Lepisosteus oculatus: one gene and its partners. The protein of the gene in region 2 purifies or fractionates together with the protein of the main gene of each other region. This does not show direct contact. Links are inferred from orthologs where the notes say so. Each region holds a gene or a part of one and is shown on either strand. Other genes may lie near its edges. The genes, in order: zbtb10, fbxl17 and zbtb18.

Region 1 (10,163 bases), on a different chromosome or scaffold from region 2:
TTTCACGAGAAAAACAAAACCCCCACCCCTTTGAGTGAGAAAAACAAAAACTTGCAATATTCGACTCAAACAATGTGTTTTTTTCTTCACATGCTGGAATATTCAGCTATAAATTGCATTCCAGCTGAAGCAGCCCTGTGATTCATTTATGAATACTGATGACACCTTCATTCTTGCAACAGCTTATAATGTACTATTATATATGACCATGTACATTTTGGAGAAGTGTGTTCAGACATATTTTAGCGAGGGAAATTAAATTAAGACAAGTCAAAGGGGTGTGACTCTTTTTAATCATCTTCTGCCATATACGTGTCACATCCATTTTTTTCCATTGTAATTTTACTGTGATGGAACTATCCACGAAGTGGTTCATGGGGTAAGTAGGGATACTGAGGAAGAGACACCGTAGGTAATTTTTATTTACATGTAGTAGAATTAAATCCCATTAAAAATGCTTTTATCAGGGTCTTTTAAGAAGTAAGCAGGTTCATTCATCTGAATACTACCTCATGCCAGTCTTGTGGCTGTTGTCCCATACCCACAGTGCTGAAACGGTGGCTGAGTTGGAAGACCTTGGACACAGGGCGGGTTCGCCCCGGTCAATAGCGAGCTTGCGGAGGACAGCACATCCACAAAGGCACCTGGCACACACCGGCAGGTTCATGGGCTTCTGGGAAAACTGGCCCTGGCGTGTTTTTGTGCATGCCCTGCGATGGACTGGCATCCTGCCTGGCACCTATTGCTTGCTGGGATAGGTTCCAACTCCACCGCAACCCTTTATTGGAGAAAGCAGCTGGACAATGGATGGATGTTTTTTCACATGTGCAGGCCTTCCTCAACGTTTAATTTTACACTGCTTTTGGCAAAACCTCCAACATCTTGTGTAATGCCATCTTGGTACTTTGCTGGGTACCAAACTATGGCCACATTTCATCTGTAGCGAGGAACCTTTCTGTCGGAGAGCAGGAGTATCGGAAATCTTCAAATTAATTTACTGAAGCTGTTGTAGAGGCAGCTTAGCTGGCTCAGCTTCACTTGCAATCACTCCCATGCAGATAACGACCTCTAAACCTGCAACTTTTAACACAGGCTGACCCCGGTGACCCCTGGCAATGTCACTGATGATTCCTCAGCGTGATAGCTGGAGAACGCAGAGTTTCAGTTGATCAAACTAGACCCACGTGTAGTGATGAAAACTGGATCTCTCCTTTTCCTATGCAAGTGAATAGGGTTATGGAGTTCAGAGTATAATCAATGGCTACATTCCTAACACAGGTCAGTATTACTTGAAAGCACTAAATACTTCCTGCATCGCAAGCATTGGAGTGTTAAAACTTTTACAAGTTTATCATTAATTGACACAATTACAGATATAGGTACAATCCTGTTCCTGTAACCCAGTATATTGAAAGAACTGTAAGGAATTTATGACTTTGCCCAACACAATTCTGATAAGACACGCAAATCATCACTCAGGAAAAACCAGAGGCCCACCTTCCTCTGACAGTGAAGATCCTCAGATATAAATGAGATGTCCCCAGATAACTTTGTGTACATTATAATGTAGCCTTCATGTACTGTAAATGTAAAACTAATGACCCTTGCCTGTTTCACTCAAGAATCTGAAGTATGCATGGTTTTTCTTACTGAAGTCAACGCGATATGCCACATAAATTAAAACCTAAAACGTATTTAAGGCTTGTGCCGGAGGAGTATTTCAGCATTTAATTCAAATCTAATAACAAATTATCGGGAGTATATGCACACACGATCGATTTTGTAGATATCGATCTACAGCAGATATGAGATTCAGTTTATCATTGGCACAAATAATCATTCAGAATTCGGGACCTCTTTATTGGAACTCAGTGCGCCACATCAGCGGCTCTCCGGACTTGAGAATGACCCAGGAACCCTGCTACCAAGCACCGTGTCGTACTGGCTCGGTGTATTTGACCTATAGTGACGGCTATATAAAACATGAAATGTTCGAACTAAAGAAGATCAATACGTAAAAACGCACTTTAGAATATTTTCAGATCCTTTACCCAATATCTTTCTACGTAGTATCTATGCGTCCTTAAACGCGTTTCTATTGTTAACCGAAGCCAAAATGTCAGAACCGTTTAAAAGAAAATTTTACACCAATTCCAGTTGCAATGATGGTCGTCCCTTCTCAGCGACCCCCCCAAAGCTGTGGATATTTCCAATCGCCTGAAATAATCTAAAAGGACAGAACACATTAGGTTTATTGCTATCGTTTAAACTAAATAAAAGGGTAAAAGAAAATGTAAATAATAATAATAATAATAATAATAGCTTATATTTATATAGCGGTTTTCTGGACACTCCACTCAAAGCGCTTTACAGGCAATAAATGAAGATCGCTAGCGAGATCTTCAGAATGAGACTGGGAAATCACTATAGAAAACGAATCATTCTAAAATGCTAAGAGTCCACAACCTGTGTTAGGAGGACGTGGATGTATTCATTTAGAAATAGCTCGATTATACAACTCAAGCTATTTATGCCATACATTTTCGAAAATTGAACAAAATACCAAGAGCAAAGATAATTTAACTAGCCGTGTGAAGTCCCACCATTAATTATTCAATCTGTGCATTTACAGTGCTTGTATATAGAACAGCTAAATGTGCAGCAACGCCCGTTAACATAAAATACGCGAACAAAACTAGAGCATTTGTTTCCACTGAAACGTAGGAAAAATGACCCACTTTTTGGTAACCCTGTACACGCACGATTTACAGGACTCGTTCTTGCCAGAAATGCGATGAAGCTACAAAAAAACTTAACTACAACCCTCTCTGGAAAAACAAACAAACTGATAGCAGTTTTATGCACTTAACAGTAATTTGCATGTTTCACATGAGGCGTGCTAGCAACTCCTTCACGACTCTACATGTTAAATACACAGTATCGGTTTAGTGCTATTGTTCAAGATCAAGCTTTGAATCCTGAATGCAAATACAGTAAATGAACAGTTCGCAGTTGCAAAATAGAAAAAAAATAGATTTAGCCACTGTATTTTACCTATTTGAGTGCTTTAAACACGAAAGCTCCTTAATCTTAAGATCACCTTCTGCTAATTACAGTGCCTATATGGCTTACTAACAAAGGACATACAAGTTGTAGCGTTTGTGAATATCATAAATCTGCTCAATTTACAAAACGATTTACATGTAGATGCCAGTTTATAGTAGAGGGTTAAATACTGTACTGCGGTGAAAACATTGCGTTTGTTTTCCATTAACTCGTATTTCCTAAAGCGTTAAACATTACATAGAGACGCACCTGTAGCCATTTAACGTTTAAGGAAATTGCCCCTTCTACACGAAGGCACAATCATTTCTGCCCCGAGCAGTCCAGCAGTTAATAGAAAAGGGCAGAAATTAAAAAAAGGAGTCACATTAGAACATGTTGACTAAAGTAGTTTTCGCTACTAAGTAGCTAAGTAGTTTTCGAGGAAAAAAAAACATAGACAGGAGACTGAATAAACAGTCTTTGAAGTTCGAAACTGGTTTTGTATATTTAATTATAACACTAAAATTTAATTTATCCCCCCCGATAAAGAGCGTATTTTTAAAACAATTTACATTTTAAAAAATGTATGTGTGGTGTATTTGCTACGAGGTGAGTAAAACACATAAACCAGCGCCTTCTGCCTTAGTAAGATCTCGTTTTCTGGTGTATTGTATTGACATGTGTAGGGCACTCACAAGTATTGGCTACAGTTTTTAAATCCTTCGTACTGTTAATAAAGAGTTTTAAGGTTCTCCAGCATTGCAAAAAATGTCAGAAGCAACAGTTTGTTTTCAACGGGCCCTGCTTCATGGCATAGGCCAACGCAGTCCCAGAACTTCAAGGTTGAGTTCATAAATCCTAAAACCTAAATATGTGACGTTATACAGTACGTGTAGAACACGTTTTTTTTTCTTCCATAGTTTAAGTGACTCGTAACCGTTTATTACAGAAATGCGTTACAGGAATTGATTTGCTAAACTCCAAGTGAGAGCAGATCTCGGGGTGTCTGTATGCACCAGCCGTGCTAGATTGCTTGAATTGATTCTTGAATACTTTATAGGACAGCCAAGGGCCCTCAAGTATTTCAGCTTTTACCATCGATCGTGCACACGTTTGTTTTTTAAAGAAATGTTTTTTTTTACTATGCACCCGGCTGAGGGGTAAAAGAAATGGCAGGCATAATACAGGAGTACAGAAGTAATAAAGAGACCTCTGCCTAATTGAGCCACTACACAGTAGTTAACAATCCTGCTGTCATGGAGAGCACCGTGACAAACCGTAACAAGATAACGCCACGGATTATCATGTTCTTCAAAGAGAGCGTCTTCAAAACGATCTCCTATGCGCACAGGGAGGACTTGAGCTCGGTTATTTTATTTTCTCCAGGGTACAGTGCCACCTACTGGACCGCCCGCGCCAGCGCCATTCTGCCAAGGCATCACTAATCAAAGCCAGCCTGGGCTCACCCCTCATGTCCCACCCGAGCCGGACACGGCTCTAAAAGACCCCCACGGGTGGGAGAGCTCATTGCTTTGAAGCAGCGTCCTCTTAAAAGCAGCGGCTCGTAAAATCGATTTCAGTGGAATGAATCTTAAAAAAAAAACACACACACACAACAACTGGTAAGATGCTGTACAACAAACATTGTGTACAACTTCGACCGAGAAAATAGATACGTTTTATTCATTTGACAAATCCGCTTTGTGCAATTAAAATCCCATGTCTTAGGGTTGGAGAAGAAGTGGATTTTATCCATAGTGGGGTAGTGGGTAATACCCAGTCACTGGGGGGTTTAGGGTTCAAATCCCAGGTGACACACTTGGACGAATAATTTAGCAGCAATATATCTAATTATCCTGTACACATCACATACGCCCGCTGCAAGATCTTCGAAGGGCTTCACAACTACATTTCAGCCTAAGATGCCATTACGATATAAATTATAACTATAACACGTAAGATGTCATTATAATGAATAATACGCATATCCGCTTGTTTGGGGAGTGTGTAGGTCTTGGTCTGGCCCCTTTGTCAGCTCTTGAGAGTCTAGAAGTCGTTTGGACCGTCTCTCAGTACAGTCCTCACGGTGTGTGTGTGTGTGTTTTTTGGGGGGGGGTCTCAGAAATTGCTGCCTCGCCACGCTTGTAAAATAAATGCTTGGAGCTGAGCGGTGTTTTTTTTTTTGTTTCGTTTTTTTTCTCTCCCCCCCATCTCTCTCTCCGTCTTCCAACATAAGCAGATCCTACCGCTTCGCTAAAAAACAACAACAACAACAACAACAACAACAACAACAACGCGTTTCCATCTACCGGGGCTAGACGTAGCAGTTGAAGGGGGGACATTTAACTGTAGTTTCGGTCCTTGCCCCGCGGTTTGGCCGCGGTGCTCGCCGGCAAGAAACCTCCAGCCTACAGCTCCGGAGCGAAGCGCACCGGGGGCCGCCGGCTCACCTGCCCATTATCCGCTCCTGAAGAGCCGACACGGCGCGCTAACAGGCAGGTTAGTAACCTGTCGTGATGCGCTCTCTTGCAGCCAGTAATGATGTAAGGTGGGAGAGAGGAGGAGGAGGAGGGGCTGCTGCTTCTGCTTCGGCCGGGGTCCCTGGGTGTGTTTTATTTCGAGGTCTCCAGTTTGCACAAGCAAAAGACGCACCAAGCGAGGAGGAGGAGGAGGAGGAGAAAAAAGTCGGGTGCAGCGGCCGACACACAAAAGCCCCCCTCCCCATCCCGACCCCCCGGCTGTCAGGAGCACCCCCACCTTCCTCCGAGAGGGCCCCCCCCCGCTCCCCGCGAGCGAGATGCATTGTGGGGAAAGTCGTTGGCATTCGACCTCTGCAGGGCCTGCGCGGACGCCGACAGAAGAGCCCTGAAATTCATTATGCGTTTAAAACCTTTATTTATTTCCGCATAACCTACACGGTCTCGCCAGCAGGCCAGAGAGAGAGAGAGAAAACAGGCCCCCCGCCGTGTTGGGGAATAAAAAAAAAGAAAGAATTCGGGAAACAAAACAAAAAAAAAAACTCAGGAAGGTGCGGAAACTCTTCTCGACTGCCTTGCCCGGCCGGGGGATTTCGTAGCGAGAAGTGCGGATTTCTAATTTATCGCGGAGAAATGTCCGGGGAAAGGAACCGCAGGTCGCTGGCTTTCCGAGGAGGTGGATTAGCCGTCACCGGCGCCAGCGGCGTCGGCGGCGGCCACGGCAACAGCTGGGAGGCCCAGGCCTGGCAAGATCGGCATTTAAACGGGAACAGGCCGGAGCAAGAGGAGGACCGGGATCTGGGGGCGCGGGGGGCGTCGCTGGGGACACTGGAGGGTGGGGGGTCGATCAGCGACAGCACGGAGGCGGAGGAGGAAGAGGACGCGGAAGGGGCCGGCTGGGGGCTCGGGCTCCGGGAGGACGAGCGGGTCGCCCACCCGGGCGGGGACGGGGACGGCAGCCTGCCCCCGCAGCCGGCCGCCGCCGCCGCCGAGGGCGACCGCCGGGAAGGGGGCAGCAGCGGCTGGGGGGCCGGCGGCGATGACCCCCTGCAGGACGACGACGGGGCCGGCGCCGGCAGCGGCGGCACCGCGTCCGGGGAGGACGAGCGGGCCGACGGGGAGGAGAGCGGGGCCAGGAAGCCCTGGGTGGAGATGCGGCCGCAGACGCTGCTGCAGAAGCACTCGCTGTTCCAGCGCTCCTGGCTGCAGGAGTTCCCCTGGCTGCGCTTCGGCCAGGACAGCGGGCTCATGTCCTGCGCCTGGTGCCGCGGCCCGGGCGGCGACGAGCTGGCCAAGGGCAGCCGCAACTACAAACGCGCCCTGCTGCTGCGGCACCACCTGTCCGCGGAGCACGGCAGGAACGACCCCGACAAGCAGGTATGGAGGTGGGGAGAGGGAGGGGGTGCCACCACCACCACCACCACCATCACCATCGTCACACGCTTGTTTATTTTTTATTCTGGGGGCTGGAGGGAGGGGGGCGTCGCACCGCATCACTCTTCTTCGGGAGACCGATTCGGTGAAGCGCATCCCCCCAAAATAAAAAGCCTAGTCTTGAAAGTTGCTTCTGGGGTGGGGGGTGGGGGGTGGCAACGTCTTAACGCGTAACGGGCGTTTAATCTCGTTTTTTTTTCCCCCTTCTAACTAGAAAAAAAACAAACGAACTAAATTACCTAGCTAGACCCCCGGGGATGATGAAACCCGGACGGTAACCCCCCCACACACACCGGATAAACACTAGTGTTGCCCCCCTCACCACCACCTCACCACCCTTTCCTTTCCCCGAATTCAGCGCTTTTTTCTCTGGTCACGGATGAACGCCGTGATCGCCAGTCCGAATTTTCTTTTTCTGCCTCATTTGCTTAATTGCCGGGGTGTGTGTGTGCGTGGGGGGGTGTGGGGTCACGCTGCGTGTTTCTCGGGGGGGGCGCTGCACCCCCCGGCCCGGCGTGTTCCCCGGTGACCTCCGCCTCGGCCTCCTGTCGGGTGCAGGACCAGGAAACGCGATGTATTTTTTTATTTTTTCCCCGTCGGCCTAAAACGAACTCCAGGGGCGACTCAAGGCGGCGTGCTCCTGCCTGTGTGTGTCCGTCCGGTGCGGAAGTAGACGCGCTGTCGTGGGATTCACGGCTCGGCCCCACGGGGGCTCGTGTTTTTCTCGGAAAAGGCGGACGCGTGAGGTATTAATTAAAGCGGCCCCGCATGGACCCCCCCTCTCCCCCAAACGCCGGCCAGCTCTGAGGCGCAGGAAAGTCCGAGGCGTGAGCGGCCGTGTGGTGTTGACTGGTGTCACTCCGGCCGGCGACACGTCCGGGTCCTGGGAACTTGTCTGCACGTCCACTGTGCAGAGAGAGAGAGGGGGGGCTGTATGTATATCTTGCGCTGTTTCGTACAAGTTGGCAGCCCCAGACTTTCCACAGCCCCGGGGAAAGCGCCGCATGCGAGAAAGAGAAAGCATGAGAAGTTTTTTTTTTCCCCCTTCCACGCAAGGTGGGACCGACCGGTTCGAACCCCGCAGCCGGCTGGCTTGCATTAAAAAACAAAGCGCCTTCTGAGAGGAGCGGGGTGAGGGCTATCCTTAGCCGGCGAGCCGTGAATCTGCCCCCCTCCCCAAAAACAAAAAGGCCTTCAGGTGAATCGCTGCGGGTTTGAGCGTCTCTGAAGCAGCCGGCGAATTGGCGAAGGTCGTTTAGTGAAGTAAATCGATGGCACGGTGGTTGGCGTTGGTAGTATCGTGGGGACCTGGTTAGTTTTTAAAAGTTATTCCAGTGAACCAATCCTGATTTCAGGCCTCACTCGTGGGCGAAAATAATAAAAAACAAACAAACTGCACGGCAGTTCAGTGGTCTGTGGATTGCAGTTTCTACCGTGGCGAGTCTATGGGAAGAGGCGATAATGGAGCTTGTCCACTCGCTCAGTTTTGACCTGGTCTTAAGTGCTATGAAAGCTAGTAGGTGTTCTGAGAGAGAGAGAGAGAGCACACTTCCTCTTTTAACAAGTTGTCTGTAAATCCAGACACGATCGGACTGCCCGAGTCATTTCTTGATCTTTATGTCAAGGGGCTCCAATCTTGTTCATAAAAAACAACAACAACATGGTAAACATCTGCAGCCATGCACGTATAGTTATTGACGAACTGCGTGTGCACAGCGGTTTTCATCCCAAGCACTTGACGCATAGGAGGAGACTTCATCCAGCGGTGGAGTGGTTCATGTTATGAGCCCGCTGCAGGGCTGCTGCTGCCCTAATGAGAGGGGAGAGGGGAGGAGTTACTTCTCCAGTTGACGTAAGGGGGGCTTCAGGAGGTCAGAATGGATGAACCCACAGTGGGATTTAGCCAGGACACTGGGATTAACACGCTGGGAGTTCTTTGCCTGGGGGAAGCTGTACCTACAGGTACTGGGTGACTGGACCAGGCTGTTCTCAACACCCTGGGGTGTCGGAAAAGGGACCCTTAAAGACAGGGACCCCTTAAAGACACCGTGCAGTGCTGAAGTAAAGAAACAAGTCTCGCTGTTGAGGTCAGGAGATCCCAGACTGGTCCTTTTCATTGCATGAGTGTCCAGTAGTTTGTTTGAACCATTAACTGAACTATTAATTTGTTCAGTCTGTTTTGCTTATCGTATGCCTTCGACACCTGCAGATTTCAAGATGATTGCAAGTAACTTGAAACTTTATACCGCTCAAGAGTCCATTGTGTTAAAAAGAGAGGCCATGATACACCTGAGTTCAGTTTAAAGTGTCAGCGCAGTATTTGAAGGCCCAGCTGGTACCGAAACCCTAAGACGCAGGAGTCGCAGCCTTTTCGTATTTTCAGGTTGCGTGTGCGCGTGTGGTGAAGTCCCCTGCAGTTACCGAGCAGGAAATAAAACCACGATAGATGCCATCATCTCGCCCAATGACCACGTCAGGTCCTGGTAGTCGTGAGGTCACTCGGCAACCGCGGGTCTCTCTCTCGGCCGTTAAAGACATAAACCGGCAGCTTTCGAAAGACGCTTCTTTGCTATTCCTGTCCTGAAACGAAACTGGTGGGCCGGCTGGTGTCTACGTTCATTCTGTACTGTCGCGTCTTCCACTGAGGGGGCTTTTCTAGGCCTTGTGCTCTTTTATTTTTCCAACATGGCAGTGGGGCTCTTGCAGTGTTCCTCTGACCTCGTACCCGTGTCTTGGCCTTCAGGGTGTGGGCTGGGTGGCTGACGTGTGGGGGAGGAAGGGGGGAAAGAGGTTGGTTGTCAGAGCGACTTGCGGTCTCCCGCGTGAAGGGGGACCTCCCAGCACGGGACGTCGCATCCACGAGGCCCGGCAGCGCCGCCGGTGCTGTTCTGGTACCTTACCTTGGGCCCAGTTTCTTAGAGAATGTGTCGGCGAATTAAAGAAAAAAAGAAGTTGTCGTCCCTCGGTGTTTCGTCTCGCGCCGTTGTGCGCTTTTCTCGGCCTCCTAGGTCTGGTTCAGCTTTCTGTTCGCCGTCGTCGGCTCACAGTACAGTTGGGGTTTTCTTTCCTGTCGGGTTGTGAAATAGCCAAATTCCGAGAAGGCGAAGGATTAATTCTCTGTCCCTTCACCCCGCATTCAGTTGTTCAAATATCCAGGCTCCCTCATTACCCCAACTTTTGACTCGTTGCTTTAGGCCAAGAAATGGC
Region 2 (10,279 bases):
AAATAACATCCTTACACTAACAAAGTGCTTTTCTGGACACTCCACCCAAAGTGCTTTAGAGGTAATGGGGACTCCCCTCCACCACCAATGTGTATCCCCACCTGGATGATGCGCCAGTACACTCACCAGAAATCAGCTATCAGTGGGGAGGAGGATAGAGTGATGAAGCCAGTTCAGAGATGGGGTTTATTAGGAGGCCATGATTGGTAAAGACCAATGGGAAATTTGGTCGGGACACCCCTACTCTTTTCGAGAAACACCCTGGGTTTAACGAGCACAGAGAGTCAGGTCATCGGTTCTACTTCTCATCTGAAGGATGGTGCCTTTTTACAGTATAGTGTCCCCATAAAAATATCCGAATAAAACTCAGGCAGTACCCCAGCCCGCAGGTTCCCCCTCTCCTCTTTTCACACTCACGTTTAGCAGGATCGACGCAGGGAGGTGGTTGATGCTGGGCATGTCGGCCTCACACGCTTTAGAGTCACCCTGGCTGTCGCTGGGCACCAGCGGGGTGCTCTCGGAGGGGCTCTGGGGGGTGGCGGTGCTGGCGGTGCCGGCGGGGCTCTCCCCTGAGCCCGTCGGGAGCCCCCCAGTGGAGCCCTCCGAAGAGGACGAGGAGGGCAGGATGCAGAGGGGGAGGTGGAACTGAGGCGGCGGCGGCGGCGGCGGCGGCGGCGCCACGGCGGCTGGGGCGCCGCCCGCCCCGTTCTCGGCCGCCTCCTGGAAGGCGCGCCGCGCCTGCTTGCAGGGGGCGCCCCTCTGCGCCCCCGGCGGGCACTTGCGCTTGCAGACCATCTCGGAGTAGTCGCCGGCGGAGACGGTGCGGAAGAGCTTGGCGGGGACGCCCGACAGCAGGCTCTTGCCTTGCTCCTCCCACAGGGCGAGCTCCTTCGGGGACAGGAGGAAGCGGGCGCAGTCCTCGGGGGAGCCGAGCGCGGCGTACCTCTCGGCGAGCTTGGAGGCGCTCTCGAGCTGGTCCTCGGCAAGGCTGCTGGGGTTGTGGACGATGAAGCACAGCATGCACGGCCCGTGCAGAAAGCAGTTCCTCCGCAGCTTCCTCTTCTTCTTCTTCACGCGCTTGCCATTTTTAGAGAGAAGATGGCCCATATAGATGACTCAGGGTGCCTCTGTGGAAAAGCCCAGTGGGGGGGGGGAACACACTCTCAGATAAAAGGCAAGGTAAGGCTGTGGCTCGCTTACAGCCAAGATGGGTGTTGGGGAGAAAATCGGAATCAAAATCCGCTTTATTGTCTACAGACAGCCGACATTTTCCTTTGGCCTTGCACATGCCTTACAGGAAACCTCCAACGGACTTTATAAGATGTATACAATCAATGCAACTTCAATCATACAATGCAGTAGAAAAAGTACAAAAAACACAAGACGCTGTCAATACAAGCACTCTGAAGGGGCTCGCTCATTCATCACAGCTTGAGTAATTGGGACTCGGAATGAGCAGCCTAAAATGTCGACCAGATGGCAAATCAAAAATCAAGCCGTGCAAACATTGCTCGTTTTGTATATCTACACAAACTGTGTGATATCACAAACAGGACTGCTTACACTCAGGCTACTAACATTACAAACACCTGTTGACTATGATTCAACGTGTTCCACATGACAACTTTGCCATGATGTTGAAGCTTCTTTCAAGAAACGGCTGGATGAGATGCCCTCGGATCGATTAGCTACTGGCTGTCAAGCAGGCCAGAGGGGTTAAACAGCCTCCTCTTCTTTTAAACCGTTTTTATGTTCTTAAAGCACTGCTCCAATCCTGTTCCTGTAAGATGATGTTAATTATTTTCTATTTTTCTATTTCTATTTTGGAAGGGAATTACATTCTTAATTCCCCAGGCCTTGGCTGACCAGCCTTTCTGTTATTCCGATTCAAGAGGCAACACAACTGTGTTGTCAATCATTTAAGAGCCAAGTGTTGTTTCCATTAGGCTATCTAGGACAACAGCAGTGAGCTTTGCTTTCCACCCACCGATGTGATGTGCTGTGATGTGAAACAGCAATCTGAGTACTCTCAAAGTACTTTCACACACATACAGGCAAAGACCTTTGTATCATCTGAGCTTAGTCTGATAAGGTTTAATAGACAGTGACACCTCACTGCAGAAAACTATTTTCCCTTTCCCTACCTTTTAGAGGGGATCCTGACTGGGAGACATTCACTCATAATCCCACAGATGGCAGCTTCGCATCATTGGCTCCTCAGCCAAGTTATGGATGACAATAACTACACGTGCATTTTATCTCCAGTGAACATGGCCCTAAATGCTAAGCTGCTCTGTTAGGATCCACTGTCCTTTGAATTGATGTGCTCCAATTCATTATGCTTAGTGTAAAAAAAGGTGCATATTCACTTTCAACAATGAATCAATAATATTGGAAGCCTTCCACAGAAACACTGAAGGAAGAAAGGAATATGTGCATTTTTCTAACAAACGCACCACTGATGTCTGAACAGTATACAGTAGTTCATGGCGATCAAAGACAGCAGGTGAGGTGATCAAGCCTAGAAAGCAGTTTTTGGTGCTATGGGTGTTATTCAGAAACCTACCTGAATGCTAAACTAGTAACCTTAAATGTGCTGAAAAATGAGACTGGACAGATCAAGCGCATTTACTGCCTTGAGTTTTATGGTCGCTGTTCATTCAAAACTACAGGAAAAGGCTAACAAAAATCACATTCCAAAAACTGTTGTATCTTTTTTGCACGAAATCTGAATTTGTTGGAGACAAAGCAACATATTAAATTAACTTTGGAATCATTGCGTTTATTACCACAAGTGCAGTAGTAGAACTGCCTTTATAAAATCATACATCAAAAATCTTGGAAATATTTTAAGGCTTCAAATGTGCTTGTTCGGTAGTTCTACACACCACACAGTTTGGGACGGGATTTTGAAGAGCGTTATTGGTTTCAACTGATCTCTTGTATACACATCTTGAAAACTGCCTAAATAGTACTGTTCAGGCATCCTGGTACTATGCAATTTTCAGCATTTAGTGTTGCAGGTACCAGATGTTCGTCTAATAAAATAACTATAGTTTTATCATCGATGCCTTGCATAAATCATAACCAAATTTATTATTTTACTTCTTCCTAGAACTGATCACACACCATTATTCAAAATACATGAGCCGTGGGCTCCACACTATATTATGCAGCGAGCTGCTTTTAAATTAACAGGGGTATTGCCAGCAATGACCTGACATGTACTTGTTTTAGTACAATTTTTATTCACACCGTAAGTACTGGGCCTTCCTCGAAACTCAGCAAAAATAATCATTATTTTGCCTTCACCTCGAGAAGCTGAATTCGTGCATGACAAAAATGATTTAGACATCTCGGAACACGAGAACAGGCTTGAAAGGCAAGGTCGTTAAGTGTTTTTTGTAAGTTTTTAAAAATATATATAGCAATACAACACATTCAGCTGGCAATGTCTAACCTGTAAGAAAAAAAAAACAACTTTCTAACTGAATTTGATGAGAAGGAACAGTTCGTCTTACTTACAGCAACGTTTTCTCAACCAGTTCACACAATTCCAGTCGCCTTCAACCCGTGCATTCATAATCCACGTATAAAACACCACCAACAGCTCGACAGACTTAAAATATTGCAGACACAACGCTATGTACGAACGTGTACACACATCATATATATGTTATTGCTCTCTGTGGAAAGTGTTCCGGAATAAGCACAAGAAAGGAAATCCTGCCCCCTGCTTAAAGAGTGATTGGAAAATTCCCTGTTCCTCACTCACGAGTACTGCCTCTTTCCTTGCTTTTTAATTGGAGGACTTCCCTGTCAGTCAAGCCAGGGCTTCACAGACTGCATGTTCACCTTGTCCGTCAAGTTGGTGATGCCCGCCTCCGTGCATAGCAACAACGACACTGTATCGCTAAGATAAAACACACATAAGAAATAGGTTTCATGGTTTGAAGGGGTAGGAAGGGAGGGAGGTCTTCTGTCATACTCACTATAACTGCTACCGTTCACGTTTTATTTGTTAAGAAAGAAGTTGCCTAAGGAAATTCGTCTAATACACGGTAGATTAAATAATCAGTGGCGTATCATTTGGAATAAAAGCAACTCACAAATATCAGAAATGCTGATTATTTTCCAGCATATGCGTACTTTTCATTATCATACACTTTAGCCTGGCACTGCGTGTCAAATTAATAAAGAATTCGTGGTAACCTTTATGCTAGATGTCTGCCAACCAATTAGAAACGTTGGGAACACAAGCCTGACTACTGTATGTAAAGACATAATTGTTTTTACATAGAAAATTATATCGATTCCATTCAAAATATTGCTTTTCAGCTTTAATGTATGCTTTTATGACAACAATTATTTATTTTAAAATACTTAAAATAAATGAACATGCTAACACAATTGAAGATAAATACAGAGACTGGACAAGGGCTGCAGAATATCCAATTTTGCTCTGATTTTTATTGAATTTCGATTTTCTTTTTAAATAAAGGAATGAGAAATCGGTCCTTCTTCAGAAACATGTCGCTAACTGTTCGGTCTGCAGACCGATAATTGAAAGCATTGTCTGTGAAGTGTTGTCGATTCCACGCACTGTTTTATTTTTGGTACTATATTACTATCATATTTAGTAGTTGCAAACAACAGCGCGCTGTCATAAAAATGCACAAAATGCAATACGCCAAATTGTCGCTAGGCGTCATAAAAAGGCTACTGAAATAGCATGAGATATACGGTATATTTTACAACTATAAGGCTTAATATTTTTCAGTGTTCTGTTGCTGCATATCATTAGTGATTTATCTTAAGTCGACAATAACTCGGTTTTTGTCAATTAACCAGTTATTTGTAGCAGGAGCGATGAAACCCCTTTACCAAATGCGGTTCTTCACAGGGCCGCACAGACGCATAGAGATCGGAAGGAAAAGCTTAAGAAAGTAAAATGAAATAATCGAGATGCAGTAAACATTTATCAGTAGTCCATAGGGGCATGTATTAATTCTGTTTCCAGATGTGCGTTATTTCTCCATGAACTCGGTTACTTCACTGCACATGAACTTGTTAATTTTGTGGGAGTGGTTTCTGAGTTTTTGGACACTTTGCAAAGCAAGCCCAAAATAGCTCGGACAAGACTTGAGGGAAAAAAAGTTGTACTGTAAATGGATTGAGATGGCTGCAGATCTTCCCGTCACACAACAAATCGCCAGAGCCCAGCAAGGCCACCAGAAAAACCCGGTTAATATTCCGATCTCAGAGGTTGAAGATTGTTTTGTTTACAACCGGCACGGGAAACGGATTCCTTTTAAAAGTTTATATGACGACAAGAAATCAATCGTTATTTTCGTTAGGGTAAGAAGCTTTTTTCTGCTACCAGTTCCGATGCTGTAAAAGCCCTGTTTTAATACCGAAGTATTCAAACGTTTCAATACAAGCATTAGAGATCCGATTTAAAGGAAATCTGCCTTACGAGTGAGAAGGATAGTGCTGATACATTAAACCAGAGGTGTTTTATTAAAATGCAGGTATTATATACGTATATTTTTAAATGATTGCATTGGAAGCAGTATCCGAAATGGCACCCTTTTCTCGTGTTGGTATACTTTCATTTCGATTGTGAACTCTTGTTAACTGAAGTAAAATAGTTCGTCGTGGATTTTGCATCTAAAATATAAATAGCCTATGTTCAATTGTTTCTAATTGTTTCAAATTAAATATTTGACTTTTGAATTTATAGCATTTTTTGTGTTACACATGCAAAGAGTATGTGGAAGATCTGGCCAAAATACCTAAGAGGTTCCTCACAGTAAGTAGTAGAATTATTACATTTTTAAAAGTTATTTAAATTTATTTTGATTATTTTCCATTATTTGAAATGTGAATGGTAATTACCAGCAAACAACAAAAATGCCTTATTACAAGGCACATCTCATAAAAGAGCTTAGATTTCTGGGAATAAAAAAGCAAAGGTTATTTTTTCACTTGTTGTTAGTACAGTATATTTCAGCTCTCAGGAGCCAGAAGTTCACTTTAATGAATAGCCCACCTGCTTCATTCATCAATATCTTTACAGCTGTTGGCAATCTTTTGAAAACAGATGACCTGTAAGAATAACTGGATTGGGGCTTTGCACAGGCCGGGCTGGGGGTTCAGACCCTCAAAATCGTAAAAATAATTTTCTAGAGGAAATTCTAAATATTAAAAGATTTAACCGTGTGACAATATATGTCCAAAGCATAGAGTTGCATTTAAATCCTAAATTCCCAGAGTTTCTGCTCCTTTTCAGTAGAAAATATATAGTTCTGTGGAGAATATCATGGTTAAACTCATATTTATTTCAACAACAGGATGCTGATGTCAGGTTGATAGTAATTGGACAGTCTTCACACCATCACATTGAGGTATGTGTGTTCCAAAAGATGAGATAGGTCAGTTACATTACAACATTGTATTAATTTATGATTAACACAGTGCTATACAAATTGGTGGCATTCAGTACCCTACTGTGACCTGTTTTCTAAACATAACGTGAAATGTCCTCTCTTGTTCACTAATGTCATAATCAGACCTTCTGCAATGTTATACCCTTCCTTGCTACCAGAAAGTTGTTAACAAGGCCACCACAGATTTGCAGTTCATCTGAAACATCAAGTACATGTTCTCCTTTAGAAAATGCTAGACGTGTCTGTGTATTTTTATGCATCACTCTTACTTATATTACATATGGGTCATACATACAGGCGTTCTGCGCACTGACAGGCTATCCACATGAAATATATGTTGATCCAGAAAGGCAAATTTATAAAAAACTTGGAATGAAGAAAGGGGAGGTGTTCACAGAGTCAGGTAATTTTCTTTTTTTTAATTTTGAGATTATATACAGTATCTTCCAGATACGTGCAAATAACAAATGAAGGATTTAGATGACTTTCAGTACTGTAGAAGTTAAAGAGGGAGCTGTGTTGGTGTGTGAGTTGCAAAGTGACAAGCAGGGGTTGATTTCACACTGAAAATTAAAAAGAAAGGAGGAAAAAAAACGTTTCAGCTACAGAGACCACACACCCGAACAAGACTCCAAAGCCTTTTTTCTGCTTTTCTGTATGGATTTAACCTTTCCTTTTTTAATAATATGTGTATAAATAGAACATCCATCAATAAAATTGCAAATAACTAATGCAGAAATGTTTGAATTCCCTGGTGAGGAGTATTTCTCTATCCCTCTTTTGGCTCTGATGACTGGATTCTTCAACCTTTCAGCCTCTTGACCAGAGCTGAGCCTCTTCAGCTTCTCCACCTTGTGCAGTCTGTACTTGTGATCTGCTTTCCTCAGATCATATCATAAGTGTCCTGCTAGAGTCTGCAATGACACATCATGACCTATCATTTGGTTTTTGCGCTCTCGTGACCATCTGGTCATTAAGTGTGGTGCAGACTTCGAAGTGGTATCCCTCTGTAAAGTCAATTTGAGACCACACTTAAGTTTCTTGACAGACGGCACACACTGTTGGCTGAAATACGCTAGTAAACCTTGGACTCCACCTGCCCCTCCATTCTGAGCAGCGTATCTGGACCAGACAATAGAAAACAGCCCTAAAGCAGGACAGGTCCACTTATCTCCTTTACAGAGGGCAGGACATTTGTTTTTCAATGTGAGAAAGAAACATTTTTCACGTTTCAGATGCTGCTTGTACTGCTGGCGAGCCTATCCACAATCTCAATTTGTGTTTCATCCAACCACGGGATTTGATATAATTTGGTTCTGGGGAGTCAATAAGTTTCTTTTCAGCAAGTTCATATCTCAGCTTTTTAAGATGGTCTGTTAACTTTGCAGTATACATCAGATTACTGAAATCGCCCTGCTGCCAGCATTTTAGGAAGATTCACAGTTATTTGGTACTGGTTAGCCTCCTTTTCTTAATGCCCTCTTCTTCATGAGGTAGTGATCATCTCATTATTGAACCTTTCACCAATGGACGCCTCCGTCAAAATTGAAATGTCTTTTGTATTTTTTAGTCATTACTAGAGCTGAAGGAAAATGCATGAGAGAGAAGCTACTGCTTATAGAGGTTGAATATAATGTAATTGGAATCCCAGAATTATGGCTAAAAGAGACTGATGATGACCAATACAACATTAGTTGATCCACAGATTTCCAGAGAGATGGGAACAATGGAAGATAAGGAGGTGTAGCAATGCACAGTACTGTACATCAAAAAGAGCATTCAGGCACAGGATATTAACTTAGAGGAATCAAGGGTTTCTGAACCAGTATGGATCAGGCTTATAAAAACATTCAAAATGTACAATGTTAGAAGTATGCTACAGACCACAACATTTAGACATTGATTCGAAGGTAACATTATTTAAATGAAGTCAGCAATGCATTTGTAAAGGAAGAAGTAGTCTTTATGAGAGACTTTTTCACATAGTCACAATGTCTTGGGAAAACCAACTGCAGAAGTAGTGAAATATTTTAAATGGCTACTCACTGCGTCCTTACATGGTTTGACACAGCACCTATAAAAGGGAATGCCCATATTTGTCTACAAGATAGCATGTAGAAAACAGGTGTGAGAATCATTAGGAACTGTTATGATAGCACAGTGTACTGTCAAGTTTATTGCGAAACTACAGGTAGAGTCCAGGACACAAAAGAGAGGTAATATTCACCATCCATGAACAAAAATTTACTTATAAATTACCTGCGAATTGCTAATTTATTGCCCATCCAAAAAACTAAAAAGGAATTATAAACCCGATAATTATTTTAATAATTATTTATTACAGTATAAAGATCAATAATTAAATTGCTTCCTTTTCTTTTTGTTGTGAAAATGATAATTATTTCACTATTATGATTTAGGAAACATAGGTCTTACTTAATTGACTCGTTAGAGTTCTTTGAGCAAAAGAACAGTATTGGGCATGCACAGAAAATACAATATGGCTTTTGAAAAAGTTCCACATAAAAGATTCATTTTTTAGTTTTAGGACTGCTGCTTTCCTAATTTAAATCTGTGATCTGGTTTCTGGTAAAGTTAGTAAACTAGGAAAGTTTGCAGATTATACCAAATTAGAAGGATAGAGAAACACAGCAAAGGCAATTGAAAAGCATTTACTGTAGACAGTAGGCCTGGGTCACTTTAAACTAGGTAAACACCTGATAAATGATATTGTAACGCTTACGGCCAACAGGTACTGTGTAAGAGCAGGCGTACCAGAGCAGGTGACATCACCGCCCTTCCCTGTGATAGCAGGACTACAGCTACTGGGCTGTATTGAGATCTCTCTTTGGCTCACCGGGCTGGGTCCCTGTTGAGTGACACGGGAGTCCCGGGTTCAAGCCGGGTGCGGGGCTGACCTAATGCGGCAAGGGCGCCCGCCTGAGCCCCCGTGGTGTTACAATATTAAATGTAGACTAGAGCAGAACAATACGTGCAAGTTGGAAAAACAAACTATAGACATAAAATGGGAAACATCAAGTTTGAAGAAGCCGCCTAGGAAAAGGACTTAAATGTTTGTGTAAACTCATAATATCCATCTTCTACACAATGTGGGGAAGCAATTGAAAGGCAAGAAGAATGCTAGGATACATCCTTAAAATCACAGAATTCAAAATTGTAGGATATTATGTTAAAATTAATGCAATGATTTAGCAGGCCTCATTTAAAACATTGTGTATAACGTTGGTCACCACACTACAAAAAAAGATATTGCTGTTCTAGAATCAGCCCAAAGAAGAGCAACCAGATACAGTCTTGGGATTAAAGGAATGTTGTACACTGGTCTCTAATCATGAACTGAGATTAGTATGATGAGATCTGATTCAACAATTCAAAATCCTCAAAGTCATGGACAGTATCACACCATATCTAAATTTGGTGGTCTGTAGCCAATCTGTACTAATAAGATTGTACATTTTGAATGTTTTTACAAATCTGATCCATACTGGATCAGTCGACTTCTTCAGATTTAACGCAAATTAGAAGATAGAATAGGAAACTTAGAACCCAGAGCAGCAGTTTTAAACAACATCTTCCCAACATATTGTCACAATATGGAAAAAGTTCACTAGCCCTGCTTATGAACCCTGGCATCTTTCAAGAAACAGCTTCATGAGATCCTTGAAGCAACTTATTTACTAGCAAGTAAACAGGCTAGATAGGTCTAATGGCCTCCTCTCATTTCTGACCTTACGTTCTTACATGTTTAAGGTCATTCACCTTTGCCATAGATCTTTAAATAAATCTCTGACTTGCCCCGTGATGACAGG
Region 3 (10,408 bases), on a different chromosome or scaffold from region 2:
TTGTGCTTTAATCGGCTTGTGAGAATAGTTGGGTTTTTTTCCATGGGAGTGCATGTAAAATATCTACCGAGCACCGTACATTTCAGGCTGAAATCAAGTCAAACTGTCAATGTAGTTCAGCCCAGCACCCGGCAGTGCTATTGTCTTCCCTCACGCCTCTGCTGTCAGTCCTGCCTGTCCCTCGACTGCAAACGGCCCCTTAAGAAAAGGCTCCCGATACACTAGGAAACTTAGCTGAGTATTTCAAATGAGCTTTAGAAAAAGAAAAGTCCAGTTGCATCTAACTTATAATTGCAATTTCAGGTCTGTCTTGAAATACCACAAACTATTTAGACAGTTTAAAACTGAGGTCCTGACTCTTTGTCATTAAAGATCCGAAGGCAGTGTTCCAAGAGCAGGGTCCCAGTGTCCTGGCTGAATTCCACCCTGGATGTATACCATCAGGCCTCCCCTGCCTTCCCTAGATTAAACTAGTGATGTCATTCCCCATTCCTCACCCTGGTCTAGTGTGCCGTGGGGCTGCTGGTGCAGAGTTACTGTCATGTGTCGCCACGACACAGGGGAAGCTGAGCTTCAGTGGAGGATGAAGTTGTTCCCCTCTTATTTTCACACATTTAGCATTTTGAAACCATTTGGGATGAAAATGGCTTTTAAATGCACAGAATTATTAAATTGCCATTGTTATCACAACCACACAAAACTGTGGTATTTCATCACATATGCCGACAGCTTTGTCCAAAAATCAGCAGTTTTCTTTATTCTGCGTTTTTGCACACTGTGCCAGTATGAAAGAGCACATATTTCAAAACAGCTGCAACATATTGAAAGCCGGCATGCAATAGTAAAAAATGTGCCTGCTTTGCTGACTGAAAAAGCTTGCCATATGAAGGTATATGGATTAGCCACTTAAATTTCAATTGCATATGGCTTCTGGCAGAGTTCTGCAAGTTCTGCTTAAAGCTGTTTAAAAGCCATGCAAGGTATGCAAATCTCGACGAACTTTGAAATTGGACAGGCTTTTTCACAGCAACCCCTTTATAATCGATCGATCCGTCAGGGGCGCACTAATGTAACGCAACGTGTACACAAGCAACCCCAAGAAATGGGCTGGATATCTTCGGATTTTAAAGCAAGGAGAGATATAGGGGATGAATGTAAATTGCACTACTATCAGGGCATCACAGAAACAAATACCAATTTTTTAAAAAATCGGATGGAGAAAGCTGACCTCTGGAAACGTGGTTGCTTATTGTGTGCTGTCTGTACCCTATTTTGGATCCATAAAACGAGACGTGACACTTAAACAAAAGCTCTGGGGATTCACGTTGTCATTAGGAATTGCAAGTCACCATGATGCCTCATGTGAAAGCCCTGAAAACACCTGCACACCTGTCTGGGCGTCTATTTATAGACCAGTTTTCTCCCCACAGACACGCGCCGCACTGTCGCGCCCAGGTGAGTTTAGGGACGAAGTGCGGTTCTGTTCGGGGCTCTGCTGGGCACAGCTGTGGGTCGGGGCTGGAATGAATTCAGTCAGCTGTACCCAGGTAGCCAGCGGCCAGGGCGCACCTGCTGGCTCGCTGCCCATGTCGCGGAAAACAAGACGCTTCTCTGGAAAAGGCAGCCGCGGAAGTCGGCATCACGCGGAGGAACGCGCTGCTGTCCCGCAGCCGCGAGGTGTGAGCTCGCCGCAGAAAGCGGACCCGGGTTCACTTAACGGGTTGTGAGATACAATCCGGCTGAAATTTCAGCACAGTTGAGTGAGCAGCATTGAGCCGGGCCTTCTGTGGGTTGTGGTGTGTATAGAACAGATAAAGACCACGAGGAAACAAGCCCCCTCCATGTTTGGCTGAATTATTGATATCCTCTGGGCCACCCTACCCTTCTGCTGTAGCTCAGTCTCGGGGCCGTGTAATAACGCACTGGACTCCGAAAGACACGGCCTACACAGGCTCCTGCTTTTCGCGTTGGTTAGCTTCCTGTTTGTACATTTAATGTGTTTTAGAGATTCTATTCAAATTTCACCTGGAAACCGAAAGCCTGCCAGATTCCGAGCAGATTGTCAGACACAGGACCTTCAGTAAAATGGAAAGACATCTCGCAGCGTTTGTATTAAAGAGAAAACACAGCACCACCCCGTACCAGCAATGCAAGAATTAAAAATATTTTATTTCTAATTTTCCCCGTGCTTCAAAGATATAGACATTTTGTTCCATGAAAGACCAGACATCTTTGACACACTGGACAGCTGCAGGAGAGATGGGGGACGACGGAAATGAGTGAATAATTTTTTTTCCTAAGCTCCGTTTGAAATAACTGGTACAGGAAATGCAGAGGAGGTTTCTGGAAGACTTGCTCCGAGTCTCTGTGAAGAAATGAAGAGATTTGATTTCAACAGCCACGGCTCTCCTGTATCTGCGCTGGAACAGATGGAACACTCCTCTCGGAGTGCCATGTCCAACATCAGACACATGCAGCCTCGCCATCGCCGTGACCGTACAGGTGACTCAGCTGTAACCTCAGGTGGGGGCTCAGAACGCTCCTCGGCCGCACAAAAATTCAGACAAGACGTTAATCACTTGGGATTCTGGGACAAAGTGAAAAACTTGCACTGCTGATGCCAACACCTGGTAGCATTGATTGTGTGTTGACATTGTGGTACTGTACCAACACTTTCTGAAGGTCTGGTTGTTTAACAGTACTGCCTGTGAAACAGGGCGTTTCTGAAATCTTCACATCGACCTTTTATCATCAGCAGACAGCTGTCAGGGGTTCAAGAAGCCAGACTCTGACGGAAAACTGTACCTGTTTCCGGCAGATATCTGATACGCACACATAACAGAATTCACTAGGAAGTGTAAAAAAGTGATTACTTTCTTACACAATGAACACGTGGAATTCCCCGTGCTAATATAAATGGTTCTTCAAATGAAACAAAAAATGAAGCTAGTATGTATAACATAGCAAGATTTCTAAAAGGACCAAGGAAATTCTAAGCAGTTCTAAAACAGACAACAGTAACCCACACTGGAGATCTGGGATGGGCCTGCAGCCCATACATGGCAAAGAGCTGAAACAAAAACATGATGAGACTTGTTTCTATTATACTTCCTATTAAGACAATAACATAGAAACACAACATGTCAAATAGAAACAAAAAAGATATTTAATTCACACACACATATCTGGAACATGACCACCTTCACATACGGGATATGCAGCGATCCGTGACACAGTGGTCTATCACACAAAACTACGGGAAAGGAGCGGACGTTTGCCCAGGATCTTGGCAGGAAAATCTCATTTCAGGCCGGGGCCCGGGTGAGGCGCACACACGGCACAGAGCGGCTATTTTCCAGGTCCTCCCAGCAGATCGGCGCCTCGGCTCACTTGAAGATGCCATTCCGCTGAGCTGGGCTCGTTCACAGGGAGGGCTCCCAGCTCTGCTGGCTCCGGTCCCAGTGTCCTAGTTCTCCCGTCCTGCCTCTGTGATCACTGGCATTTACTGAACAACACAACTTTGTACATTCTGCTGTGCAAATGAAACTGCAATTAATTAAACAGTTGGAGGAATGTTTTCCAGATACTCCTGGGCTAATTTGACTGTGCTCCACGCTTTTTTTTTTCCTTACCCTGGATTAGACATGGGAGTATTCTCCCAGTGCCGTTTCAAAAGCACACAACCAGAATGTGTTTTTTTCAGGTATTTTGTTTAACTGGAAGACCTTACCATTAGCATTAAGCAGAGCAATTCACCAATTTTGAAGAGTACACTTGAGCTTTCCCTTAGTCTTAAACTCATCCGGTTTAAGTCTGAATAAAGCTCTACTGTAAATACACCCCTGCCTCTGCTGCCAAGATGTTTTAGGAACTCGAAAGGCTAAGTTATCACCCCAAAAATATCAGCCAGAGAAGAAAACGTGACTCTGTATCTCCCGAAAAAGGGATGTCTCTTTTGAATTCTGCTGTATTTCTGTAATATACATAAGAACATAAGAACAATTCCAAAGGAGAGGAGGGCATTCAGCCTATCTGACCCTTGTGCTAGTTAGGAGTTAAACTGATCCCAGGATCATATTCAGATGTTAAGAAAAAAACAGGGTATCGGTTTCAACTTAGCTGGGCAGCTTTATCCAGACCCCCACCACCCTTTGTGTAAAGGAGCGCCTCCTGATCTTGGTTTTTAATGAACCGTATATGCTGAACGATGTCAGTAAGAGCTACAGCTTGTGAACAAGTGTATCCCAGGCTTTCTGCCCAAACTTCACACCCCCTGCGTCGCCTCTGTTCTTGTTGTCACAGCGCCTGGGCTACGAAGAGCACCCGAAACCCTGTCCATGCGCATTCTTACACTTTCAAACATGTCGTTAAAGTTTATACGTTGTCTTCAGCCGGCGCGCTACTTGAAAAAAAAATATGTGAGCGTAGTAGATAACACTATCAAGGCCATTTTAACACACAGATAAACCGTTTACAGATGCCTTCCATTTCAGGTCTTTCACAATCAGCAGTTTATTATTTTTGAATTCGACACGGTTTTGTTCTGCTCTAACCTCTGCTCTGCCGGGGTTGGGGTGCAGGACTGTTTGCAATCTGTCGCGACGCTACCGAGACAATCGCGCCTGTGTGTCAGAAACGGGAACCTCGTTTCTGCGCTCAGCTCCGAGTCTCTACCGGGATTTCAGAAAACTGCTGAAAACGCTAGACTAGTATTTAAAGCTATCAGTCAGTCAATATTTTTAAAATATTTTTTTTTCTCTGCGGGTCGTCGGAGGTGTTGTGAGATTACCTGTAAACAGCAGTTTACAGCAAATCGGAAACTAAATGTAAATTTCGTCTGACATTTTAAGCGCACAAAAAAACCGGGGTGACGTTTAACAGTCACTTAACTGTATTCCTAATCATTTTACTACCTGTATCGATCATAGGTTATCGAATGCTTACATTTATCATTAAAAGCATGCAAAGACAAAATGCCTTAGAAATAAGCAGTCTTTTCAAATAAATCCACAAAATTGTTTTAATAAAAATATTAAGCTTCCTTCTGTAAGAACCAATTCATGCTCAATTTTTACGTTCTTATGCTTTGATTTATAAACAATTTGTTATGTTTTTTTTCCTCCTGTTAAGCCCAGTTCAGCTGAAAAAAAAAAACAATATTCGCTATTCTGCTTTCCGGTGCAATTCTGGTGAAGTGTATTACTTCTCAGTTGGTTTCGCGTTACCAAAGCTTTCCTGTGAGGAGTGAACGTGAAATTTTACGATTTTTATCGCGCAGGCTTTAACAAAAATAATTACCCGGGAATAAAAAAAAACACACACGTGTAACTAAGCGTCAATCCCTCGAAACATATTACAGCTACCGTTAAAAGACTGGATGAGGAAGTTCAATTTGAAGAGCGAAAGCGGAAAATACAGAACTGAATCTCTCAGCAGCGTCTCTGTAACACATTCCCGCAGTTCCAGTGAAGGAGTACGGACTGCGTTTGACAAGCGCGTCACTCATTAAAAAACATTTAAAACGCAGTTTTAAAAAGACCTTTAAACATTTGGTTTAAAACATTAAATCGTTGAGATGTCAATTTAATCACATTTCATCCGTTTTTCTCATGCCGTACTTGAGACTCCAGTTGCCCCTTTGGTCAATGTCATTGTATTTAAATCTAAACTGTGGAATAATTTCCGATCATGAAATAAAACGATCTTACTGTCGTTCCGCACTCTCTATTTCAGTGGCTACCTGCTGCAGGACACATTGACTTCAAACAAACGTTACAAATCGCGCCTCGCAGTTCATGACGAGTAGCGTATCCTTTTAATCTGTATTAAAGAAAAGCAAGACATTGGGGAAGCAGACGGCGATACTGATGAGTCGTCACGGCAAGAGACTGTTCCTAGAAAGAGAGGCTACAGTATTTTAATTAACAAAGTCGTATTTGTGTAACTTCAACACAATTTCCGTCTCTTTTCAGATTTGAAATTGACATCTTCGTGAATTCGCGTACGTTATGATACAGTAAATGCTTTATTATATCTGTCTGGGATACAGCTGTCAAACACAAACAGCTATTTTAAGGATAATGATTCACAGCTGCTCTCTGACTCGAAGAGTGCGTTTCACCGCGGTCAGTGAGTAAATACAGGCTGTAGCGAAATTACAAGTCAATTAACCGATTTTAAGACAATTCCGACACGCGGCTTAAACCTACGCGCACATAAATGCTGAAAATAACCTCGACAGCATGCAGACACTGGGAGTCATTTTTTTGCACATTTCGGTACAGTTCGTGGATGGTGTTACACTCGGTCAGGGTGGGGAAACGCGCACACACACACACACATATGCAAACGCACACACACACAACCTGCGCTCATGCATGACCGGCACAGCGGACACGGGCTTTCCCTCCGTCGGTCTTTACCTACGAACACATCCAGCACACCCTGCACAGCAGAAACAGCACAAGGCGGCGGCCTGGCGGCTCCGCTCTCCCCCGGCCGCGGCACCTGTTCCCTGCGGCCCCGCCAGGACTACAACACCCAGGCGCCACCGCGCTCCGGCTGCCCGTCTCGCTCCCTGCGCTCTGCGCCAGTCCGCTTGAGGAAACCAGCTCGCTTTGGCCTTTTTTTTCTGCCTTCTCACTGTTGCCTGGTGTCAACCTACGCCGAACAAACAGACGTCCCTCCCACTCCCCCCTCCCTCTCCCCCCTCCCCCTCCGAGCGGCCGCCTCCGATTGGCTGGCGCGCCGCGGCCCGCCGCCGCCATTGGCCGCCGCGGCCGCCCGTCACGGCGCGTCCCCCTCCGCCGGAGAGTTGAGTAGCAACAGCTCGGAAACATCTGGCTGCCGCAGCTCGTCGGGTCCCCGCTCTGTCTTTTCTGCCTCTGCAGGTTGTTATGGGGAGCAGCGGAAAGTCGCGGTAGCTCTTTTTGTTGTGGTCGGTTTTTTCCTCGGCGAGCAGGGAGGGGAGGGCGACGCGGGGCACCGCTGCCTGTGAGTACGCCGAGCCGCCGGGGTGTTTCGGGCCGGGAGGGGGGCGAGGGGAGCCGAGCGAGGAAGCGGCGAGCGAGCGGGCGGGCGGCGGGGGGGGCAGGCTGCAAGGAGACGGAAAAGTAGTGATCTTCCTGGGGCGCCGCTGCCGGGGCAGCCCGGGGAGTTGCGGGGCTCGCCGCTGCGGGAGACAGCGCTGGCGGGGCCTGCAGCCCGGCGGGCAGCGGTCGGGCAGCGCCGGTGCCTCGGCTACCGGTCGTGGCGTGGCGTGGCGTGACCGTGTGCGCCAGTGGGCTGGCTGTGGCTCCTGGGTCCCCCCACGCTGCTGCCTCCGCGCCCGGGGCGCCGCTCAGCGCGGGGCTGGAGCTGGGGGACAGAGCGCCCTGCCCAGGGCGTCCCGGGAAGTTTGGAGAGAAGTTCGCTGTGAAACTGTTGCTTCTTGTGCGGGTTTCCCTTTTGTTGTTGCTGCTGCTGCTGCTGCTGCAAGGGTCGGTCATCTGTCACGCGTGAGAGGAGGCTTCTGCTCTGATCAAGGAGCAAAGAAAGCCTCGATCCCGGGGAGGAAAGTGACACTCAGGGGCCACAAGGACACACGTGTTTCCTTGTTTGCCCCGGCGCTCTCTCGTCGCCCCTCCGCGAGAGCCGGGAGCCCCGCAGGCGGTGTCGCCGGGGGCCGCCGCCGCTGTGCCGGGCGGTGAGGTCGCCTGCAGCCCGGGCAGGGGAGCTCCGTGACCTCCGGCGGGCTTGTAGGAGCCGGCCGCGGCTCTTGGCGATGTCCTGAGGAATTGCCGAGCCCTCACCCCCACACCCGGGCCAGAAGCTCCGAATTTACCCCCCTGTTTTCGGCAAATGTGCCCACACGGGACCCCGGGGTGGAGCGGGTTTACAGGTGATTCAGCGGTGCAACTTCTGACTGCTCGGATGTGAAGAGAAATGAGAGGAATGTGGGCGATATTGGCCATTAGTCTGTGCTCGGTGGCGGCCGGCGACAGGTGCCGAGTCGCGTGTGGTGTTGGTGTCGTGCGGTGTTACCGGACCGGACGGGTCGGGTCGGGCCACACGCACCGGTCTGAGGTTCCGCCGCAGAACACAGACCCCCCTCCCGTCGCCCCGGCTCCGGTGAGCTCCCGTGTGGGGTTTGCGCCGAGTGAAACTCGAGGTGTCGGCGGCCGCAGCCGAACAGGAACCGAACCGCGAGATCGTCACCCGCGAGGGGGAGCCGGATACTTTCAGGCGCGCCGCTGCAGCAGGGCAGCCTTAACACAACAACAACAAAACGAAACTTGGTCAAAACTCTTCTGGCTTGCGTATTTTATTTTATTTTATTATTTTTTTTTGGGGGGGACAGTCTTTCCCTGTCTTCTTTTTCTTATTTTTTTTAAATCAGTTATCCAGTGAATGGCGGCTCTGGCGAGGGCACTGAACCGTAAAGAAGTCGAAAACAATATCAGCTGCAGAACTGTCAGTTGCAAATCTGCGGAGTGGGGCTCTGTGGAGGGTTACTGGCCGGGGGGGGGCGGTTGTGTGTGTGTGTGTGTGGGGGGGGGGGGGGGGGGGTTGGGGAGAGGAATGCACACTCCAAAAAACTGGAAGGATTTTAAATGCATCCCTCCAGTAATGCAGTAAACCAGGCTAGAAAAAAAAAGTGTCAGACCTGTTTGGTAAAGTTGTCTTTCCGTGCAGATTGGAGGGGTGTGTGTGTGTGTTTTGAAGTGTATTTGTAATGGGGGGGGGGTTGACCAGTTCTCCCCAAACAATTCGATGTACAATTTCTTTTAAAGAAAGGGAGGAAAAAAAAGTTGTGTAAAGAAGAGGCTGGTGGCAAGAGTGTAGAGGAGTAACATATGGCATTAAAAGGAGCACAGCTGGAGGTAGCATTTCCATCTGAACATGATGTCAGAGCAGCTGACAGACTGCCATCCCCCCGCCTTTTATTCTAGCACACAGGCAGGGAGTTAGTGTGTGCGGCTCTGCGTGCGGAGAAGGTATCTCGTTCGCTTCCAGCGTCCTCTCCACTCGGCATCTGTCTCTCGGCTCGGCGGAGGAGCTGCGGCCGGGGCTCGGTCCGGTTGGTGCTGCCTGCAGCAGGTACGGTAGGGAGGGCTGTCAGGGCTGATGTCCGCGGGCACGCTGGCTCTGTGATTGTTCCAGCGTGCTCGATTGTTTGCTTTTCGGGACTCAACTTGGTAGGGAGGTGGAGATGAATGGGAAACTTTTTTTTTTTTTCCGCTTTTCGCATAGTGCATCCGGAATTCAATTCCTGACGGCAGTTGTGGTATTTGAGTGCCCACAGTGCCTTTACCTTCCTTTTGTTGTAAAACAGGCTGTTGATGTTTGTGTCTTGTACACAAGAGATTTTTGTTTTATTGCAGCTGATGTATTCGTTGATGCCACTGTGTGTTTTAGGGGAGAGAAAAAATCGGCAGGAAGAATTCCAGCTAGGGAACGAAAGAACTTTATTCTCTTTTTTTTTTCTACAAAAATAACGATAGCCCTCAAAAGGGGGAGAGTATGTAAAGCACAGAGGAAAAAGTCGTGACTTCAAAAGAAACCATGCCAGGCTGTGTAGACAGGTTTTTTTTTCCTTTTCATTTTACCCATCTAAAATAGCAGGGTAATTATTTGAAAGCATTTCTTTCCTTTTTTTGTCATAGTGACTAATTTAGGACTTGCAGATTTGAGCTGCCTGAATTGGCCAGACAGCTGTAATCGCACTCCTCCTAGTCCTAATCTCTTTATCTGGGCAGCAGCTGCCATATGGCCACAGTCAGCTGGATCAGATGTTTATAAGCTTCCTTCTTCGTCCCTCTCTGTCCTTTCAGCCTCCTAATTTGATCGCTGCTACCTTGTGAGCTGTCCTGCAATCTTTATTTTTAGCCATCTTAAGGATTAGGATTGATGTAGACTACAGGGCACTTAAAGTGATTGTATTGTAAATCTTCTGGGTTTCCTCTTTGAGGAAAGATGTGCAGTTTCTCGAAAGAGGTGGGGAAAAAAAATCAAATTGCAGGCTTTTCTTACAAAGTGGAAGAAATGCCTTGCTCCATAAAATGAGGTGATATATAGTTAAATGACCAAACCTGGAATAAGAATAAATACTAATTTGGTTTTTATTTTTCTGTTTCACTGAGAAGAGTCCATATAGTTAACAGGTGGTGTTGTTTTCTAAGAGTGCTTTCTGCTGGGGCACAGATATGAGCAAGCTTTTGGAAAATTATTTGAAATTGGACTTTTGATTCTGTGATTTACCCAGTGTGAGTCTTTTTTTTTTTCCTTAAATTTGGAAAAGGATATAAAAAGAAAATGTTTTTCATGGTCAGGTGCATGTAAAGTATGTTCTGATTCAAATTTGCATCTTTTGAACAACTGCATACTTTCTGTATTAAGTGTTGCACAAAGACAGGGTTTGCTTGGTTTG

The links.
Region 1: the proteins of fbxl17 (region 2) and zbtb10 purify together in Homo sapiens (affinity purification with western blotting; 3 studies listed by BioGRID and IntAct, with this or other methods). This does not show direct contact. The link is inferred for Lepisosteus oculatus from reciprocal best matches to the Homo sapiens genes FBXL17 and ZBTB10.
Region 3: the proteins of fbxl17 (region 2) and zbtb18 purify together in Homo sapiens (co-immunoprecipitation; 3 studies listed by BioGRID and IntAct, with this or other methods). This does not show direct contact. The link is inferred for Lepisosteus oculatus from reciprocal best matches to the Homo sapiens genes FBXL17 and ZBTB18.

Annotation. Positions count from the first base shown.
Region 1 is NC_090705.1:39,776,813-39,786,975, forward strand, and holds the start of zbtb10 (zinc finger and BTB domain-containing protein 10), read left to right. Parts: upstream 1-5,613; 5' UTR 5,614-6,155; coding exon 6,156-6,899; intron 6,900-10,163. UniProt on the Homo sapiens protein: May be involved in transcriptional regulation.
Region 2 is NC_090698.1:57,058,102-57,068,380, forward strand, and holds the start of fbxl17 (F-box/LRR-repeat protein 17), read right to left. Parts: upstream 3,735-10,279; 5' UTR 3,526-3,734; intron 1,128-3,525; 5' UTR 1,108-1,127; coding exon 418-1,107; intron 1-417. Other genes in the region: prxl2c (peroxiredoxin-like 2C), read left to right, coding at 5,179-5,358, 5,744-5,812, 6,354-6,407, 6,747-6,852. UniProt on the Homo sapiens protein: Substrate-recognition component of the SCF(FBXL17) E3 ubiquitin ligase complex, a key component of a quality control pathway required to ensure functional dimerization of BTB domain-containing proteins (dimerization quality control, DQC).
Region 3 is NC_090712.1:1,251,699-1,262,106, forward strand, and holds the start of zbtb18 (zinc finger and BTB domain-containing protein 18), read left to right. Parts: upstream 1-6,170; 5' UTR 6,171-6,373; coding exon 6,374-6,890; exon of another isoform or gene 6,891-6,993; intron 6,994-8,578; exon of another isoform or gene 8,579-9,078; intron 9,079-9,616; exon of another isoform or gene 9,617-9,975; intron 9,976-10,408.